Sus scrofa: one gene and its partners. The protein of the gene in region 4 interacts with the protein of the main gene of each other region in a pairwise test. Links are inferred from orthologs where the notes say so. Each region holds a gene or a part of one and is shown on either strand. Other genes may lie near its edges. The genes, in order: RND1, HRAS, RAP1A, PDE6D and ARL15.

Region 1 (2,456 bases), on a different chromosome or scaffold from region 4:
AACAAACAAACAAAAACCCCAAATAAATTAAATCCCTGGATAATTCCTTATGCACATGGGAGTGTAAGGATCATTTGTTTTATTATTATTATTTAAAAAAATTTTTTTTATTTTTGTCTTTTTAGGGCTGCACCCACAGCATATGGAGGTTCCCAGGCTAGTTGTCTAATCGGAGCTGTAGTTGCTTGCCTACACCACAGCCACAGCAACACCAGATCTGAGCCGTCTCTGTGACCTACATCACAGCTCATGGCCATGCCGGATCCTTGACCCACTAAGCAAGGTCAAGGATTGAACCCGCAACCTCATGGTCCCTAGTCAGATTTGTTTCCACTGCGCCACGATGGGAACTCCAGGATCATTTGTTTTAAAACAATGTTCACATTACAGTTGCCTGGAGAGCTCTTAAAAATACTATTGTCTAGACCTACCCACAGAAATTCCAATTTATTTGGTTTGGCAACAGTGTGGTTTTAAAAGTATTCCCAATGACTCTATCACTTTCAGAAAATAATCAGCAGAGGAGTTCCCTGGTGGCTCAGTGGGTTAAGGATCCAGCGTTGTTACTGCTGTGGCTTGGGTCACTGCTGAGGTTCAGGTTGCTGATGTGGCTCGAGTTTAATCCCTGTCCTGGGAACTTCATATGCTGTGGGTGCTGTGGCCAAAAAATAAGACAGAATTTTAAAAAGAAAAAAGGAAAATAATCAGCAGAGGGGGGTGGTGGGAGACTGGCAGTTGGGCCCATCAGCATAGCTGCGGGGAGGACCGCTAACCTCGGAAGGCAGAAGGTGGTGTTTCAGAGCCGTCTTGGATCCCTGCCCTGATGACCTCACTTCCCCTCCAGGGCTGTGCAATAGCCAAACAGCTGGGTGCGGAAATCTACTTGGAAGGCTCGGCTTTCACCTCCGAGAAGAGCATCCATAGCATCTTCCGGACGGCGTCCATGGTGTGTCTGAACAAGCCCAGCCCCGTGCCCCCGAAGAGCCCTGTCCGAAGCCTCTCCAAGCGGCTGCTCCACCTCCCCAGTCGTTCCGAACTCATCTCTTCCACCTTCAAGAAGGAAAAGGCCAAAAGCTGTTCCATTATGTGAAGTTGGGGGTTCGAGAGGGGAGCCAACCTCCCACTTCCTCCCTGGGGTTGCAGAGGCACGGGGAGAGGGAGGAGGAGACATTTTAGGACACTGGACACGAGTTTTTCAGACGGCCACGGTGAGGGCTTGGAAGGAGACAGGAACGGGACAAGGAAAGAGCCAGGCCCGGCTTGAGGACCTGACACTGAGAAAGAACCATCACACCCCAAGCCAGGCACTAGGTGGTAGAGGGGGCGGCTGTCCCCGTGCCCTCCGCTCCAGAGGAAGGACAGGTGTGGGGGCCTGGGGGGCATGCTGGCCTCATGGCTTCGGTTGGGGGCCTCCGGGAGCCTCACCTTCAGCATCATGCCTCTTCCACACAGCGTTTCCATGCGGGCCAGGGGATGGGAGGGGTGCCTGAGCCCTTCCCTTCCCCTCCAAGGAGGCTGCGGATGAGTGGAGAGCGGGGGGAAGCCAAGAGGCAGCTCCTCTGGGAGCCGAGCCCGGGTGCTTCATAACTGAAATCAGAAGGGCAGGAGCTGGTCAGAGCCAATGCGAAGGAAACCTCATCTTTGCGTAGCCCATGCCTCCTGGAGAGGTGACATCATGCATTCTCATGCTTCTCACCTAAGTCCCCAGGGTCCAAGGGAGAAGCCCCAGACCCCCTTCTCTTGCAGTGTGGGGGTGGTGGTGCTGCAGGGGGCAGGGCTGGGTGGGGGTCACCAGACTTTCTCTGCCCTTGGGGCAGTATAGCTGGCATTTGTTTTATAGACTCTCGTCTTTGGAATTGGGGGGAGGGGGGAGTGTTTCAATCTGTTATATGTTCTGTGTTTAAAGAAGAAAACCTATTTATTAATGAAAAATATAACACATATAAAGAAGCTGGCTCCAGTGTTCTTAGTTTCTTTGTTTCCTTTGGGTGTTTTGTTTTGTTTTGGCCACACCCTTGGCAGGTGGAAACTCCCAGGCTGAGCAAACTGCAGTTGCAGCCCGCACCACGGCTGCAGCAGCGCTGGAGCCTTAACCTGCTGCGCCACAACGGAACCTCCTCCTTTGGTCTTTGATAATGAGGAAAAGCTGTCCTGAGGTCCTTTCTGTGGGTTGCACAGTGGCTGCCAGCCCCGTTCCCTGGCACCTCTAACAAGGATCCCCTCCCCCCGCATCGCCCCGACCCCCACCTCCCACCTCATCTCCTTCCCCGCCCCAGTCCTGCCGAGGCAAATGAGATCTCTTTAGCACTAGAGCAGGATTTCCCAACCTCAGACCAAATGACATCTTGGATTAGATAATGCTTTGTTGTGAGGTTGTCTTGTGCACTCGAGGATGCTTAGCCTTCCTGGCCTCTGCGTGCTGGGTATGAGTAGCACCCCTGAGTTGTCAAAACCAA
Region 2 (4,075 bases), on a different chromosome or scaffold from region 4:
ACAGCTGGGGTGCCAGTGGCGTCAGTCCACGACAGTCCGTGCAAAGCGTCCTGGGAGGCCTGCGGCCACTGTGGCCGCCGACCGGGGCTGGCCGGGCGCCGGCGGCACTTCCTTCCTTCCTCCTTCCTCCTTCCTCCGCGTGCGCCTCCTCCCCGCATCCGCCACCTCTGCGCCCCAGCGCCCAGCTGCATGGAGGCCCCGCAGAAGGTCCGCAGACGGGGCAGCGGCGGTGTCAGGAGAGCAGGCACTTGCAGCTCAGGCAGCCGGGGCCGCCCTCGTCGGGCGGGCTCAGCTTGCGCACCTTGTGCTGCCGGATCTCGCGCACCAGCGTGTAGAAGGCGTCCTCCACCCCCTGGGACGAGAGCGCGGGCTCAGGGCCGCCCCGCCGCGGCGCCGCCCCGCCCCTGGCCCACACTCGGGGAGCAGGGGCCCCAGGGCCACCGGTCAGGAGGCCTCTTCCTCAGCAGCTCCCCCACAGCCCACGAAGGGGTCAGGGCCGACAGGGGACTGCCCCCCCCGGGGGGGGCCCCCAGGGTCACCGCTCCGGCCTGGCTCAGGGCAGCTCTCTCCGGGGACCTCCACCTCCCCCCTTCCATCCGGGGACACTTACAGCAGGAGGGGCTGCTGGGTCACGGGGGTCCCGGAGGGTCCCAGAGGGTCCCGGAGCCGGAGCCAGAGCCAGAGCGGCTGCCCTGTGTCGAGGGAGAGGGGCGGTGAGCGCTGCTGCGGGCGGGGCGGGGCGGGGCCCTGGCCGGCTGGGGGCGGGGCTCCGGCTCACCTGTCGGGTCTTGGCTGAGGTCTCGATGTAAGGGATGCCATAGCTGCGAGCGAGGTCCTGGGCCTGCCGAGACTCCACGGTGCGCGCGGCCAGGTCACACTTGTTCCCCACCAGCACCATGGGCACGTCGTCCGAGTCCTTCACCCGCTTGATCTGCTCCCTGCAAGGGGAGGTGTGAGCCAGCGGGCAGGGTGCCGGCGTGCTCTGGGCCCCCAAGCGAGGCCCGCGGGCAGCTCACCTGTACTGGTGGATATCCTCGAAAGATTTGGTGTTGTTGATGGCGAACACGCAGAGGAAGCCCTCCCCGGTGCGCATGTACTGGTCCCGCATGGCACTGTACTCCTCCTGGCCCGCGGTGTCCAGGATGTCCAGCAGGCACGTCTCCCCGTCAATGACCACTTGCTTCCGGTAGGAGTCCTGAGGGGGGGACACCACTTAGGGACCTCTGGCCCGCCCGGGATGGGCTGTTCACACCACCAGCCCCTCCCGCGCTCCTCTCGTGCCCGCCCAGGACCTGTGACGAGGGGAACCCGTCCTGCAGAGCGGGCAGAAGACAAGCCCACATCGGGATGCGGGCTGGAGGCTCACCTCTATGGTGGGGTCGTACTCATCCACAAAGTGGTTCTGGATAAGCTGGATGGTCAGGGCACTCTTCCCCACACCTCCAGCGCCCACCACCACCAGCTTATACTCCGTCATCGCTCCTCAGGAGGCCACAGCACAGGACTGCAGTGGAGGAAGCAGCATTCAGCGTGGCCAGACCATGCAAGACAGGCCCGCTGAGCTCCCAGGGCCCGTACATCCAGGTAACAGGGGTCGCAGCCACAACCGCGGCCCCGCGGCGCACCTGTGGCACCTCCAGCTGCACTTAATGACTGCGGGAGAGAAGCAGGGAGCCGGCCCCAGAGGCAGGGCTGACAGGAGGGAGCATCTCCCAGGCACGCACCCGAATTAGAAGGTGCTGGATAGGCAAAAAGCCTGAACTGGAGGCACCGCGGGCTGAGGTTACAAGCGCCCCCCATGAGAACAGGTCTTGCCACAGTGGCGGGCCAGGCAGCATGCCCAGACAGGCCTGTGGCAGCCAACAACCAGCTCCAGGCCCCTCCGGGCATGCTGGTGCATTTGACAAGTATTCACTGAGTGCCTACTGCATGCCAGGTGCTGTTCCAGGCACAGGGTGACAGGCAGTCGGGAGGAACCCCTACCGACAAGCTCAGGCCACGCTCCAAGCCAGACTCACATAAGTGAAAATAAAGGGAAACCTGCGGCGCCCTCTCGGCATAAGAACTTTGGGGAACATAAACCAAGGCAGGTGAAGAGGCCGGCAGGGGCCAGGGCTCCAGGAAGCAGGAGCTGATCAACAGGAAAAGACCTTGTGTGGCACAAGGGAACAAGCGAGAAGGGAAAAAAAGGGCCTGGGGCCAAGGCCCCCCAGCCCCAGCTGGAGATGTTTAGACAGGGTAGGTACCCTGCGGGGACAGAGGGCAGTGACTTCCTAAACTCTAGGTTTGCCTGGTGTGTGTGATGGCCGCCGGGTGCCCGAGTTCTTCGCAGGGATCCTTGGAACGCTGCAGGGGGAGAGACTTTGCCCAGGGCCATGGTCATGGGCGGGCCTCGGCTCGGGGAGCAGTCAGAGAACAGACTGAGAGCGCTTGCGGGGCCCCAGAAGACAGGGCCCGGGACCTGGAGTCGGAGGGGCTGGCCTGGGCGAGGCAGGGCGTACCAGCCGCCGCCTGCAGCCCCAGCCGCAGCGCCCCGCCCGCCGCCGCCCGCGGCTCACCTGCGCCCCCGCGCGCCCGCGCGCCCAGCGAGAACCGCGGGCCCCCGTCCGGCCCGGCCCCCGCCGCCCCCCGTGGTCCCCGCCGCACTCACCGCTCACTGGCGCGACTGCCCCCGGGGCCGGGGCCGGGGCCGGGGCGGGGGCGGCGGCGGGGGCCGGGGCCAGGGCGCGCGGCTCGCCCAGTGCATGGGCTCCGTCCGCGGCGGGTGCGGCTCCGGCAGCTGGCTGCGGACTCTCGACCGGGCCCGCGCACGCCCCGCCTCGCCCCCGTCCGTCAACCAGGCGCGGCCCGCCATTGGCTGCGCCTGCCGGGCCCCGCCCTAGAGCCTCTTCGCCCCGCCCCGATTGGCCGGGAGGCCCGCCTGTCAGATGCCTCGGGCCGGGCGGGGCTTCCGGGAGCGGCGCGGAGGGCGGTGTCGGCCCTGGTGGCCCGCGTGGGCCGCGGCCTGTGGGTCTTGGTGGGCCGGCTGTGGGGTCCGGGGGAGGAAGCTGCTCCGTGGACGGCCTGGACTCTCCCAGGAATAAGCAGGGCCCTCAGGGAGACAGAGATCCCGCGGAGAAGCGGGTCGAGGCCCGTTGCGGACTGGGGCAGGGTCCTCAGGGCCCAACTCGAGCCCCGCACCGGGCCCCTCGGCCCTCGAAGTTGCTCACGGGTGCGCCCACGCGCCCCAGGCTCTCCCTGCGCTGCGCAGCCCACCGCAGGGGGTCGGGGAGCGGAGGGGACAGCCCGGGGGCCGAGCCTCAGGGAAGATGGAGCCCGCGAGGTCAGCACCGAAGACACGCGGGGAGCCGGGGCCGTAGAAAATCGGAGCGGCTGCGGGGAGGAGGGGCAGGGGCAGGTGGCTCCTGGAGGCGCTCCTACCGCTCCCGGGACGCCTGGCAGCTTCGGCGGGGTCGTTGGTCTCAGCTCAAATCTTACGTCTAGGGCCTGACGGGGGCGTCTGAGCCCACGGAGCATTGAATCTGGCCAAGTGTTTTTACCGGGGGTTGGGGGGGGCTACTCACGTAGCGACTGGCGCTCGGAGAAGGGCCCCTCTTCCCCATCCCTCATCACCAGCTTCCCCCAATTTGGGCAGACCTTGCAGACTCCCTGTCCAAGCAGCTTCCCCCAAACCCGGAGGTCCCAGCGCTGCAGAAGCTCACCCTGAGGCCCAGTTAGCAAAAGGTACCCAGCAAATCCAACCCAGAAGGGGGTGAGGTGAAGTCTCCTTCATCCGAGGCGCAAACATGCCCACCGGCCCTCCTTTAGAGGCTCTCAGAAACACATGTTTTCAGCATTTTAGAAATTTTCAAAGTAACGAATAAACGCATCCTGCTTGTTTACCAGAAAAAACGGTGCATTACACGTATGGCCAAACCTCCCTCGGCTCAGCCGGCACCCCCTTCCATCCCTACTCCTCCCGCGCCGGCTCCGCGCTGCTCCCCAGGAGCTCACCCCGCTGAGGCCTCGACCATGGCAGGCCCCCGGGGGTCCGCCCCTGGCCCCACGACCGCGCCCACCCCACCCCGGCTGTGTC
Region 3 (3,515 bases), on a different chromosome or scaffold from region 4:
GCTTGCTATCTTCAGGTTAATCTATTTAGCTCAAGCTAAAATAGTGCATTTATATTCCTCTGGCTAATTGTAGTGTGGATGACCTCAGGCCACATTTTTACCCTTGCTTTTAGGCAGTGATGTGCCAGCTGTTCAGGAAATATCTCGCAACTACCTTCTGTCCTTCTTTTCATTTACGGAATGACAAAATATCTAGTCTTATAGAAATTTAAGAGATAAAAGTAGATGATCTGAAAAAGATGGGTGTATAGTGTCTTCCAATGAAAAGAACAAGGGTTTGAAATCAGGAAGGGATACTTTTGAATTTCAGCTGGCAAATCAGAAAAACTTGATTTTCCCCCACAATTAGAAAGGCTGTTTGAAGACTGTTTAAAATTTACAGTCTCTCCTTTGAGGGCATAAGATAAAAATTGCTACAGATTCATAAAGGAGTAATAAGACTTTAAATACTGATAAATTTTCACATTTTAATAAATTAGAATCCATATCCTTATATGTATCTTATTTGTATCTTCATTGTACTTTGAAACTTAATGTAGTAATTATTTTAACAGTGTAATGTCAGCAGCAGCATTGCTGACAGTTTTTAACACAACCACTTCCTTTCCTAAGTATACTCTTAATTATGAATGTATCCTTATATTGAAAAATAATGATACTTTACAATTTGCATTTTTACCAGAGTTTTCACATAATTTCATTTAATCGTTGCGATTTTGCAAGGTTAAGTAACATTTAAGAGGGGCTGATTTTTCTTTTAAGTCCTTAACTTTTGTCTGCTTTTTTTTTTTTTAGACCGTTCAATTTGTTCAGGGAATTTTTGTGGAAAAATATGACCCAACGATAGAAGATTCCTACAGAAAGGTAAAATGTGAAACGTGTATGCTCATGCTTACAAGTAGTTTCTTATGACTTTAAAACTTGATCCCTGGAATTGCTTTTTTAAAAATAGTTCTGAGAAATGACCCAATGTTCTGTATCTGTTTTTAAAAGTTTCACCAAGACGTGGTATTTTTCGTAGAATATTGCTTAGCTAAAGAGAGCTCCACATTCTCTCGCTGATTAATGTAATCAGTCCTTTAATATACCCATTTTCTTGGTGGCCTTTTTTTTTAATATAGAAAAATTGCATATAAATAGTAGGTATATTTTTGATGACTCTTTGTGTGAACTAAAATTAAGATCACTTTATACTTGAGGTTATCCAGTGACTGAAAGTTATTTTTGTTTAATTATATAATAACTTTAAAGATATTTCACCTTTAGACTATAAAAAATTAGACAGTTGGAGTCTGTGTAATAATTTAGTGTAGATACATGGCCTCATACATTTGTCTTAACCTGTAGCATGTACAACATCAAGAGTAAAACTGCAGACTATGGACTTTGCATGATAATGGTGCAAATGCAGGTTCACTGATTTTCACAAATGTACCACTTTGGTGCAGGATGCCGATGGTGGGGGAGGCTAGCGGGGAACAGGAAAATGGTATGTGGGAACTCTACTTTTTCTGCTGTTTTGCTGTGAACCTAAAACTGCTTTCTAAAAAGTAAAGTTTGTTTAAAAGGAAAAGAAATTTAAGTAGTTGGTCTTGACAAAAAAATACTGTTCTATTTAATTAGAAAACTAGCTGGAATTGTGGAGAATTTTCAAGTCTTTATTTCCCAAGTATGGTGGGGGCAGCGGTAGGGAGGGAGACAGTGTTGTAAGAAAGCCTAGTAGCCAACGATACATTAAAGAAAAAAAAAAAAAAAAAGATTAAACCTCCCTTCCAACAAATGAGAAAGAATTGCTTTGTTGGATGTTAAAATTTACCTTAAATAGTGCTATAATTTCTGTTGAATTAAATTCTTCAAGCCTACCGGAATAGCAGTTTCATTATCTGTAAATTGGAAACCAAATGGTGGTACATTGAGAAACCACAGAGTGAATTCATTATTCGTTGAACATACGCATTCACAGAGAGGGCAGATTATTATCACTTTAGTCCCGTAAACAATGGAACAGTGGAGTTTGGGACTCTACCCATCGTGCTCCTCATCAATCCCTGATGTGACACAGAAGCAGAGTTTAAAATAGTCCTTAGGTCAGTATGTCTATTTTTAGAAGACAGTGTTGCATTACTGAAATTTCCCCCAAATCAGTTGCTGGTTAAAGCATTAACTGCAAACAAAGATCTGTACCTTGAATGTCAAAGATTTTACACTTTTCTAAATCCCTTCTTTATTAAAAAATGTCCACACGGTTAATAGTTGATACTTGCTTTAGGCCAACCTTCTCTTCTGTGCAACACTGGGAAAGTAGAACCCAGTATCTAAAAGTTTGCCTTATGCACACAGTTTTTCCAAAGACGTAGAAGTCTTGAGAGCTGTAGGAGTTCAGTGTTATTCTGTGTTCCCTTTTAACTCTTAAATTAATGCTCCTGTGTGTTAAATTTGGGGCATTGTTTAGTAAAACTCTAACAGCTTGAATGTGGTAAGTTGGCAAAGTTTTCTTTACCCTCCCAGTCTTGGCTATATTTTGAACTATTTAGTACTTGTGTGCTTTGTTTTGAAGAGAATATAAATATACATACTTTATCCATTTTTCCCCTGTTAGAATTATACCTGTTGGTTATAGTTTTTCTTAAATTACAGGGTATGACCGTTGCCTTTTAATAACAACACAAATCAGTACTCAGTGTTCATAGTGGTCAGAAAATGCCTAAACTCAGCATCAGCAGTCCTGGCTTTGTAGTATTAATAGAATGTGTTTGAGACCTCCTGTTCTTTATTGTAGCACCAAGTTAGATCTCCACCGATACAGGAAACTGCTAGAGAAAGGCTTTGTAGTTGTTAATAGGTACTTTGAGCAAAGAAGTGGGAGGAAAACAGACTGACATTTTGATGTTACTTTTTCATCCCCCTCCACCCCCGCACCCTACCCCAACAGCAAGTTGAAGTAGACTGCCAACAGTGTATGCTCGAAATCCTGGATACAGCGGGAACGGTAAGCATGTTTTCTCTTTTTGTGATCGATTTTAATTTGTGAATAGGTTTTTGTCGCCTGAACGGTTCCTCTGAGTAAAAGCATTTATTCTGATTAAGAACTTGGTCTCTGTGTAGGACTTCTTAAATTTTCTTATGTGGGTGGCACTATCTATGATGTACTTAATGCTCACATATCAGTGTTAGATGTTGAGCTCATCTGCAGAATCTGTGTGTTGAATTTCTTTTCCCTGTATTGAGGTAAAAATTGTGCTATTACTGCTTTCTAAGAAAAGAAAAAAAAAGGCATTTTAAATTCAGATCACGGTCATTCATTTTTTTAAAAATTGGTTTAGTAGCACTTTTAACATCTCAAGGTTTATTAGCATTTTAACATCTCTGGTGACAGATATGTATTTCTGACCAAAAGTCTTTAGGATTATTTTGAGCCTAATTTTTCACATCCTTAAATGAGTATAATGACGTTAGTACATTATAGGGTGCTTGTAGTGATCAAATGCAATAGTGATTATAAATCACTTGGCACA
Region 4 (4,180 bases):
GGGAGACAGCCCCTCAGATAGCTTTGAGGAACTGCTCCAAAGAGATATGGGAGGAGCCAGGATACACAGTTTTTTCCCGAAAAAAAAATGAACATTTAGTCGAACACAAAAGAGCACTGCCAATCACAAAAACTAGACATCTCGGATTAATGATTAATGCTTTTCTATGAATGGGAAGAAGCAAGAGTCTGGGCTCATTGAAATTATTCCTTAGATATGCATCTTAACTATGTAGGGCAAGTATCCTGTTTTCCTCCATGTATCCTGAATTCACCTCTGAGCCCATCTTCCGGGGTGGCTTCAGTGGCCAGTGGCTTGATAGTGGGTAACATTCATTGTTTACTGAAATGGCAGGCAACATTTTTTATTCCCACTAACCTCTGGGTGTTTCAACCTGAGTGGGAAAACTTCACCAAGGAGAATATTAAGATAGCATAGCCATGCTGCTAAAAATATCACCACCCTAGTGTAGAGCAAAGAGCCCAGACTACAGTAGACTTAAGAGCCCAATCCTAACTCTGCCCCAACTTGCTGTAACCTGTGAACAATCTTTTTGCCTCTTTGGGCCTCGGTTTCTTCATATGTAAAACAGGGGCTGGATTAGCAAATTCTCCTAAGCCTAACTGTATTGATATTCTGAGTTCACAATCCATATCTCTTCCAGTCCAACGCAGGAGCACAGCAGAGACCTCTACAAAACACGTAAAAGGCGCCCCAGGCCAACGAGCAAGCCTGATTTCAACGAGTCATTTTGTTATATTAGCTTTCATGGTTTAATCAGTGTTTTGGGGTTTGTTGTTTCAGGCTTACCATGATTTGCAGGAGATTTCTGAGTTCCATGTAAATACAAGTTGTCTCTCTGTGGGCTGTCATCTTCTTTTGAGGTTGAAGAGGATCTTCCCAAAGAGTTTCAAGTCTCGGGATTCAGAAACCACCAAGCCTACAGGCAGATGTATGAATTTGCGCACACTGCGCGGCACACTGGAATCTAAGTTACAGAGGACTAGGGTGCAGGGAATGCTGGGATTTGCAGTCCCTGGGCTTTTTGTTGCGTGCTGGGATATGTGGTCCCTCGGACAACCCCCTAGAATGCTGGGAAGTGTAGTCTCCGCCACATCGCACAGGGCAGCCTGCCGTCATCTCAGAGCCCTACTGTCCCCAGCCGCAGGAGCAAGCCCCTGGAGCCTCTGCCGATCTGAAGCCAACCCTCCTCTGAGGCAAACTCTAGGCAACCACACCGAATGAAAAAATCTGTCCTACGGGACTTCCCGGGATGGGCCCTTCCCATTGACGCTCTTCGTCCCCCTGCGAAGCCGCTGAGTGTTTCTATTGGTTGATCAAGATGCCAATCGCCAAGACGGGCTTTCCATTGGCTTCCGGGCGGGCGCTCCGCGGCCAGGGGGAAGGAGAAGGGATCAGGAGTGGGAGCTGAGGGGAGGGAGAGGCGGGTCCGGGTCTGGTCGCAGCCGCTGCTCGCCCGAGGTGTCCAGGCCGGCTCGGTCCTCGGCTCCTGGGCACCATCTGCGAGGCTCCGCCGGGCCAGCGAGGGAGAGCCGCAGGCGGCGGCCGCCGCATCATGTCAGCCAAGGACGAGCGGGCCAAGGAGATCCTGAGGGGCTTCAAACTGTATCCACCCGGGAGCGGGGCGGGGCCGGGAGGACTTGGGAGGCGGCCGCTCGCTGAGGAGACCGGCCGGGGGCGGGGGCCGCACCAGGTGGGCACCCGGGAGGGGGCGGTGGGAAGGGAGGGAAGGAAAGGCGTCCCGGGTCCCCGGCGGGACGGGGCGCAGAAGGCGCGGAGAGGGACGTCCGGAGGGAGGGAGGGAGGGGACGTTGACGGGAGCCCCGGGGTTAGAGGCGAGGAGCCCCGGAATTGAGCTTAGAGAGGCGCAGGGCGTCGGAAACGGGTGTCGGGAAGGCGCGCTTGGGTCCGAGAAGAGAGGCCGGGAAGGAGCTGCGGCCCGCAGGCAAGGGCCGAGGGGGCGCGGTGGGCTGGCCTCGAAGCCCAGCTGCCTCTTTGGCGGGAAGCCCACCCGGGCAGCAGGGAAAAGTGACTTGGAGCGAGTGACCTTGTGTGGGACAAATGCAGAAGCGGGTATCGAACTGTCTCGGGTTCTCCCATCCCATCCCACCCCACCCCACCCCCCGCGGCTTGTTTCCACAACTTCTCTTCCTCACTTGTGGCTCCTTCCAGGGCTGGAGAGGCAGGTGCGGCGGGAGAAGTCTGAGATGGACCTCATCTTAACTCTGTCTCGGCCCTTGGAGGCATTGGGCGGTCGCTGCTTCTCCCTTAGCTCCTCAGTTTTATTTTCCAGCGAAATAAGGGCCCTAAATTTGTGTGTGTGAGATGCGGTGCGATGCCTCGAGGTATTGTGGTTTTGCACTGGGACTCCTGGCAAAGGCTTCTGCTCCGTCCAGTTTGTGTGGTTAACGCGTAGAGCTGGTGGAGCTGTCCAGCAATTATTTGATTACGTTGGGGACACCGTAGGATTTAGTAGGATATAGAAATCATTGCCTCAGGCCTGTTACGGTGCAGCGGGTGCAACCTTCTCACTGTCGTGAGGCTTGGTGTTTTAATGGAGTGTTAATCTGTGACCATATGATGCAGATGAAAAAAAAATGCAATCTTGTCCATTCCAATTTTACATTTTCCTACTGACCTTAATCTCTTCCTATACCTACCATATGGAACATGCTTAAATTCTTCTCTCAGTGAAGATGTAGTTACCATTTAGGGCACCTCCCCTGGAGGTTTAGTCAATCCCTGTTCTCTGAGCTGACTCTGTGTTTTCACAATGCCCATGTCACCCCTGCAAGTTTTAATTGCTTTGTCATAATCAGAAACCAAGTATAAATTTTAAAACACAACAGCAAAAAAGTTACAGGAAGTTTCGGATGTATAAATGAAATTTTTCAAATAGAAGCTGATTTGCCATAGGCGTTATCACCTTTGCATACTGCCGTTCATGATAAACTTCCAGCAGTTTTATACAGTGAAGTTTAGTAACAGCCTCTTATAGGTCCATATACCTTTCCGTGTTCCTCTTCACAGTAGCGCCTATAAGTAGATAGGGGTGGCTGAAGTGTTAGAAAAGCTATGACATGGACTTTATTTTTCCCTTAAGTAATGTATTTTGTTATGTAACATTTATGCTATAGACAGTAAACTAGAGACTATGGAGAATTGAGAGATTTCAGAAGCAATATTTTTGTCTGATTGGAGTTAACATTTTACTCAAAGTAAAAAAGAGTCTTTTTAATGGCTTTTGAACAAAGCAAAGCAAAAGAGAAAGTTTGAGCTTCTCACTTTCAGTCTTTGCTCCGAAACCTTGTTCAGAAAGAAAGAGGCTAAGAGAGGAGTTCTCTGGTGGCCTAGCAGGTTAAGGATCTGTTATTTTCACTGCTGTGGTTCAGGTCAGAACTTGGTGCGGGTTTGATCACTGGCCCTGGAACTTCCACAGGCCATGGGCTTGGGCAGAGAGAGAGAGAGAGAAAGAAAGATAAAGGAAGGAAGAAAGAAAAGAAAATATAAGAAAAGAAAAGGGCTAAGGGACAAATATGGAAAAACATAGAAAGCAGAACCTGTATCATCCGCTAGAAAGGAAGATGAATTAACCAATTAAGTAATGACTTCAGTGTTTTCTGGGAAATTTTTTGACATGGGCTGATTAAATCGCAAGGGAAGCAGCCAATGAAAAATGTTAGCATGGGAGCAATGGATGCTCATCCTCCCTTTGCCTTCACTGGTATCTGAATTAAGAGTGAAATGGAAAGGAGTTCTAGAATTTGTTACTACCTTCAGGAAAAAATAAAATTAGTGTTTTAGTAGGAAACTACCTGACTGTTGTCCATCTTTTCTTGGATAAATTGTCTTTCTGAACTTTCTTTCAAAGTATCTTTTTTTCTGTAGGAAGAGTTTTTACTATAAAAAATCTCCAAATCTCCATTATATTCTTCTACCAACAATGTTGACAGTGCTTGTTTTCCACATTGACTATGTTGTTCTTTTTTATTTTTACTGATTTGATCAATAGATGATAGCTTGTTTTAATTTGTATTTCCCTGATACCTAGATCCCTCAAGAGGTAATATAGGCTAGTGATTAAGGGCTGTACTGGTCTATAGAGCTATTCTGTCTGAATTGAATTCCAGCCCTGCACACTTGGTGTGTATCCCTTATG
Region 5 (4,214 bases), on a different chromosome or scaffold from region 4:
ATCAGCTATTTATCATCAACTATAACATATGCTCATTGTGGAGTTCCCGTTGTGGCACAGCAGAAACAAATCCAACTACGAACTATGAGGTTGCTGCAGGTTCGATCCCTGGCCTCCTCAGTGGGTTAAGGATCTGACATTGCCTTGAGCTGTGGTGTAGGTCGAAGACACGGCTCAGATCCTGTGTTGCTGTGGTGTAGGCCGGTGGCCGTAGCTCCGACTGGACCCCTAGCCTGGGAACCTCCATATGCTACAGGTGCAGCCCTGAAAACAAACAAACAGAAAACCACACACACACACAACCACCTTATTTCTTGATAGTTATTTCAACATGTGAAAAAATGCTTTTTGAAAAATAAAGATGCTTTCAAGACTGAGATCAGCCACTTAAACTCATATTAAAAGATCAATTCTGACTGGAAATTAACCAAACCTTAAAAACCAATTGCCATTGGATTAGAAGTCTGTTTTCAAGAAACAGATTGTAATATGTCCTTAGTATACCCTAATCAAGAACATATTAAAACATAGTTCAAGATAATGAAATGTAATATATTAATTCCCTAGGAACTTTAATAATGTTAAAAAGACCTAGTCATTTTTTATTACTCAAATGACTTTATCACATTTGTAATTATATAATGATAATAATCCAATTTTACAGGATTTCCTTCCCATAACCCAAGAAGACCTAGTCATTTCTTTTAAAAATTACAACTTAAAAACCTTCTGTAAACAAACTGACATGCCTGCCTTCATAACACCTATGACCCCAAAAGCCAAATCATATCTTTTACAGTCTCAAAGTTGACAATTCAGATCATTCTTGTAAATGATAGACACTTTTTTACTGTTTAAATTGTTTTTATTGTTTTATTTTTCTGAACATCTTCTCTTCCTCAAAGACTTTATAGATACTGTGTTTCATGTTGGTACAAGTTGGGCCTTCAGGGAAGCAAACACTGACAAAGAATTAGAAATACAGAAGGTTTATTAACATACAGCACCTGTGAAAGAAAATAGCTGTGGGATTAAGATGGGGGTAGCAAGTAACCACAGAACATTATACACACCTAACAAAGCCTCTACTGGGAACTCCCAAGCAAAAATTGCCCAATAGAGACGACCAAGCTGGGCAGAAACAGCTAGACCTTTGTACCAGCAACTTGTTTCGTCATTGGTTGAGGGGGCAACTTCAAGAAGGAAGAATCCCAAGAAAAGTACCAACCCCAAGGTTGAAGCAGAGCCTGAAAGAGCTGACAGCTGCAAACTATCAGCTCATTACACGCCAGGCAACTGCATGAGTCCTTTCTTGAATTTTGCTTCTCCTTGTCAGCTGCTTGTGGTATGTGAACTTCTTTCGGTAGCCTAGCTTGGTACCTTACATATAGCCCTTACACCATTCAAGACTGGTGGGTTGCTAAGCATGTGGACTTTGCCATTTACTACAACCAACCCTGTTGTGTCATTGTGTCACTGCTTGAACATACTTAGTACCTTCTGAGATGGGCAGCTCTGAGAGTGAAGAGAAAAGTTAACAAATCCACCTGACCCCACAATCAACATCCTGAAATCTCACAGCAAAAGTCAGATGAAATAAAGTTCCCAGTACCACATATTAATAAGATAAAGAATTTCCTTCCCTATTTACAGAGTAACTCTTCACCCCTTTGACTGCTGTAGAAGTATTAAGACAACTCCCTCACCTCCATTTGGCAGTAAAAGAATGAGATCCACAAAGATAGAATTAGAGACATGAGCTTATGAGAGATGAACCATTTTGTAAGATAGTGGCTACAGAGGTGGCAGTTAACAAGACAGAACAGAGAAAAGGTTGACTCCTCAATTCTTGAGTGGAGAAAGCCAGAGAGAAGCAAGCCGATTCCCGCTACAGGGCTCCCAGCAGCTCAGGGAAAAGAAGCACCTGAGGCTGAAAATACCAAACTGGCGTGAGTCTTATTTTTTGCTGTTGTTGTTTTTAATTTTTATTTTTGGCCACTCTTGTGGCATTTTGAACCCACACTGCAGCAGCGTCTCAAGCCACAGCAGTAACACCACCATATCCTTAATCCACTGTGCCACAAGAGAACTCCAGCTGTGAGTCTTAAAGACTCACTTGAGCCCATTGATCTGCCCCACTCTGCAAAGCCAGGTCACCATCCCACCAGTGCCCTGAACAAAGACCAGCATGAAAGTTTCCTTCTGAGATTAAACTGGAAAGGGTTTGACCTCACAGATACCAGGTAGAACCTAAAAGCAAAGAGTAAATTCAGTAGGAGTAGAAGAAAGCTAAGGAAATCACCAAAAAGGTAAATGAAAAGCAGTTGGGTAAAGGAAATTAGCATATCAACCTGGAGACATAAAACCCACTTAGATGTTTCAAAACAAAGAAAGAAAAACAGTAATGCTGGTGGGAAGAAATTATCAAGTAATTCTAGCAAAGCTTCTATAACCCAATTTTCAGACCCAAAACACCACAAATGTGCACAACTTTAAGTGAAAAAGACACATTACCATTAAAGAAATAGCAATTTTAAAACCTTCCTACAGAAGCGCCACGCCACAGTGTACAATCAAGTTCTAATAAACAATCCAGAACAAAAAGTTCCAATCTTACAGCTATTCCAGAGTTGGTCTCTTCTGAGGCCTCTCTCCCCAGCCGGCAGACACACGCCTTCTCCGAGTCCTCACCTCCACCGATGCGTACCCCCCTAACGTGGGCTGCTCTTTGCGGCCTAAAGCTCCTCCCCTTATAAAGGCTCCAGTCAAATTGGCTTAGGGTCCACCATGACCTCCTCATTTTTACTTAATTACCTCCTCAACAGCCCTATCTGCCTACCCAATCACTATCTGAGGTACGGGGGTTAGCACTTGAACCTGTGTATTTGGGGGTGGGAGTAGGCAATTCAGCCCTTAACAACATTCCAGGTTGGCAATATATTCAGATTGTGAGGGATAGTTACAAAAACCTTACACAAGTGTATTCAATGATACAACATTTAAAAGCCTTTGCTTTAAAGTCAGGAAAAAGATAAGGGTGCCAATTATCACTGCTTCTGTGCTGTTATAGCAAAGGCCCTGGACAGCATTATCAGACAAAAATATAAACAATAAAAATGGAAAGAAGCAAACAGCTCATCTGCAGATTGTGGTCGTGTGTGTAAAACACAAATCTACATATCAGTTATTAAAATGAAAAAATCGTGTTACTCCTTAAAAATCAATATAAAATTGGGTTTCTAGTTACTTAGCAACAAAGTTAGGAGATGTATTTTATTTTTTTAATTTTTTTATTTTTGGAAAGAACACTTTTATTTATTTATTTATTTATTTTTCATTTTTTTATCTTTAATTTTTTTAACAATGATCATCACAATCCAGTTTCACAGGATTTCCATCCCACAACCCAACCACATCCCTAAACCCCCCAAACTGTCTCCTCTGGAGACCATAAGTTTTTCAAAATCTGTGAGTCAGCATCTGTTCTATAAAGAAGTTCAGTCTGTCCTTTTTTCAGATTTCACATGTCAGTGAAAACATTTGATGTTGGTGTCTCATGGTATGGCTCACCTCACTTAGCATGATAATTTCTAGGTCCATCCATGTTGCTAAAAAATGCCAGTATCTCGTTCCTTTTAATGGCTGAGTAATATTCCATTGTGTATATGTGCCACATCTTCTTGATCCACTCCTCTGTCGATGGACATTTAGGTTGTTCCCATGTCTTGGCTATTGAAAAGAGTGCTGCAATGAACACTGGAGTATGTGTGTCTTTTCGAGTCATGGTTTTCTCTGCATAGATGCCCAGGAGTGGGATTGCTGGATCAAATGGTAGTTCTACGTTTAGTTTTCTGAGGAATCTCCACACTGTTTTCCACAGTGGTTGCACCAATTTACAATCCCACCAACAGTGCAATAGGGTTCCTTTTTCTCCAGGAGATGTATTTTAAAATAACCTTTAAAGTAGAAATTCTAAAGGCACCTAAACATAATCCTTACGACCATAGGATTGTGAGAGAAATCTAAAACTTGAATACATGTGATGTTCATGGATGGAAAGACTGTTTTAGAGGTGTAATTCTCAAGTTGATGTATCAATTCAACATGATAACATTCAAAATCACAGAGGGTATTATGTCGAAACACTTCTTAACTACCCTTAATTTGAAGATAGTGCCCTCCTCTCTGTGGCTGAAGCACTTATGCATATTTAT

What was found.
Region 1: the proteins of PDE6D (region 4) and RND1 interact in a two-hybrid assay, tested with the Homo sapiens proteins (2 studies listed by BioGRID). The link is inferred for Sus scrofa from reciprocal best matches to the Homo sapiens genes PDE6D and RND1.
Region 2: the proteins of PDE6D (region 4) and HRAS interact in a two-hybrid assay, tested with the Homo sapiens proteins (2 studies listed by BioGRID). The link is inferred for Sus scrofa from reciprocal best matches to the Homo sapiens genes PDE6D and HRAS.
Region 3: the proteins of PDE6D (region 4) and RAP1A interact in a two-hybrid assay, tested with the Homo sapiens proteins (2 studies listed by BioGRID). The link is inferred for Sus scrofa from reciprocal best matches to the Homo sapiens genes PDE6D and RAP1A.
Region 5: the proteins of PDE6D (region 4) and ARL15 interact in binary tests that used the Homo sapiens proteins (3 or more experiments, as listed by UniProt). The link is inferred for Sus scrofa from reciprocal best matches to the Homo sapiens genes PDE6D and ARL15.

Annotation. Positions count from the first base shown.
Region 1 is NC_010447.5:14,914,147-14,916,602, reverse strand, and holds the end of RND1 (rho-related GTP-binding protein Rho6), read left to right. Parts: intron 1-844; coding exon 845-1,090; 3' UTR 1,091-1,951; downstream 1,952-2,456. UniProt on the Homo sapiens protein: Lacks intrinsic GTPase activity. Has a low affinity for GDP, and constitutively binds GTP. Controls rearrangements of the actin cytoskeleton. Induces the Rac-dependent neuritic process formation in part by disruption of the cortical actin filaments.
Region 2 is NC_010444.4:299,734-303,808, forward strand, and holds the start of HRAS (GTPase HRas), read right to left. Parts: upstream 2,807-4,075; 5' UTR 2,651-2,806; intron 1,505-2,650; 5' UTR 1,478-1,504; coding exon 1,367-1,477; intron 1,196-1,366; coding exon 1,017-1,195; intron 939-1,016; coding exon 779-938; intron 693-778; coding exon of another isoform or gene 630-692; exon of another isoform or gene 611-629; intron 353-610; coding exon 233-352; 3' UTR 1-232. UniProt on the Homo sapiens protein: Involved in the activation of Ras protein signal transduction. Ras proteins bind GDP/GTP and possess intrinsic GTPase activity.
Region 3 is NC_010446.5:108,688,445-108,691,959, reverse strand, and holds part of RAP1A (ras-related protein Rap-1A), read left to right. Parts: intron 1-795; coding exon 796-864; intron 865-2,932; coding exon 2,933-2,989; intron 2,990-3,515. UniProt on the Homo sapiens protein: Counteracts the mitogenic function of Ras, at least partly because it can interact with Ras GAPs and RAF in a competitive manner. Together with ITGB1BP1, regulates KRIT1 localization to microtubules and membranes.
Region 4 is NC_010457.5:132,423,866-132,428,045, reverse strand, and holds the start of PDE6D (retinal rod rhodopsin-sensitive cGMP 3',5'-cyclic phosphodiesterase subunit delta), read left to right. Parts: upstream 1-1,367; 5' UTR 1,368-1,576; coding exon 1,577-1,626; intron 1,627-4,180. UniProt on the Homo sapiens protein: Promotes the release of prenylated target proteins from cellular membranes. Modulates the activity of prenylated or palmitoylated Ras family members by regulating their subcellular location.
Region 5 is NC_010458.4:33,572,734-33,576,947, forward strand, and holds the start of ARL15 (ADP-ribosylation factor-like protein 15), read right to left. Parts: upstream 2,816-4,214; 5' UTR 2,801-2,815; coding exon 2,618-2,800; intron 1-2,617.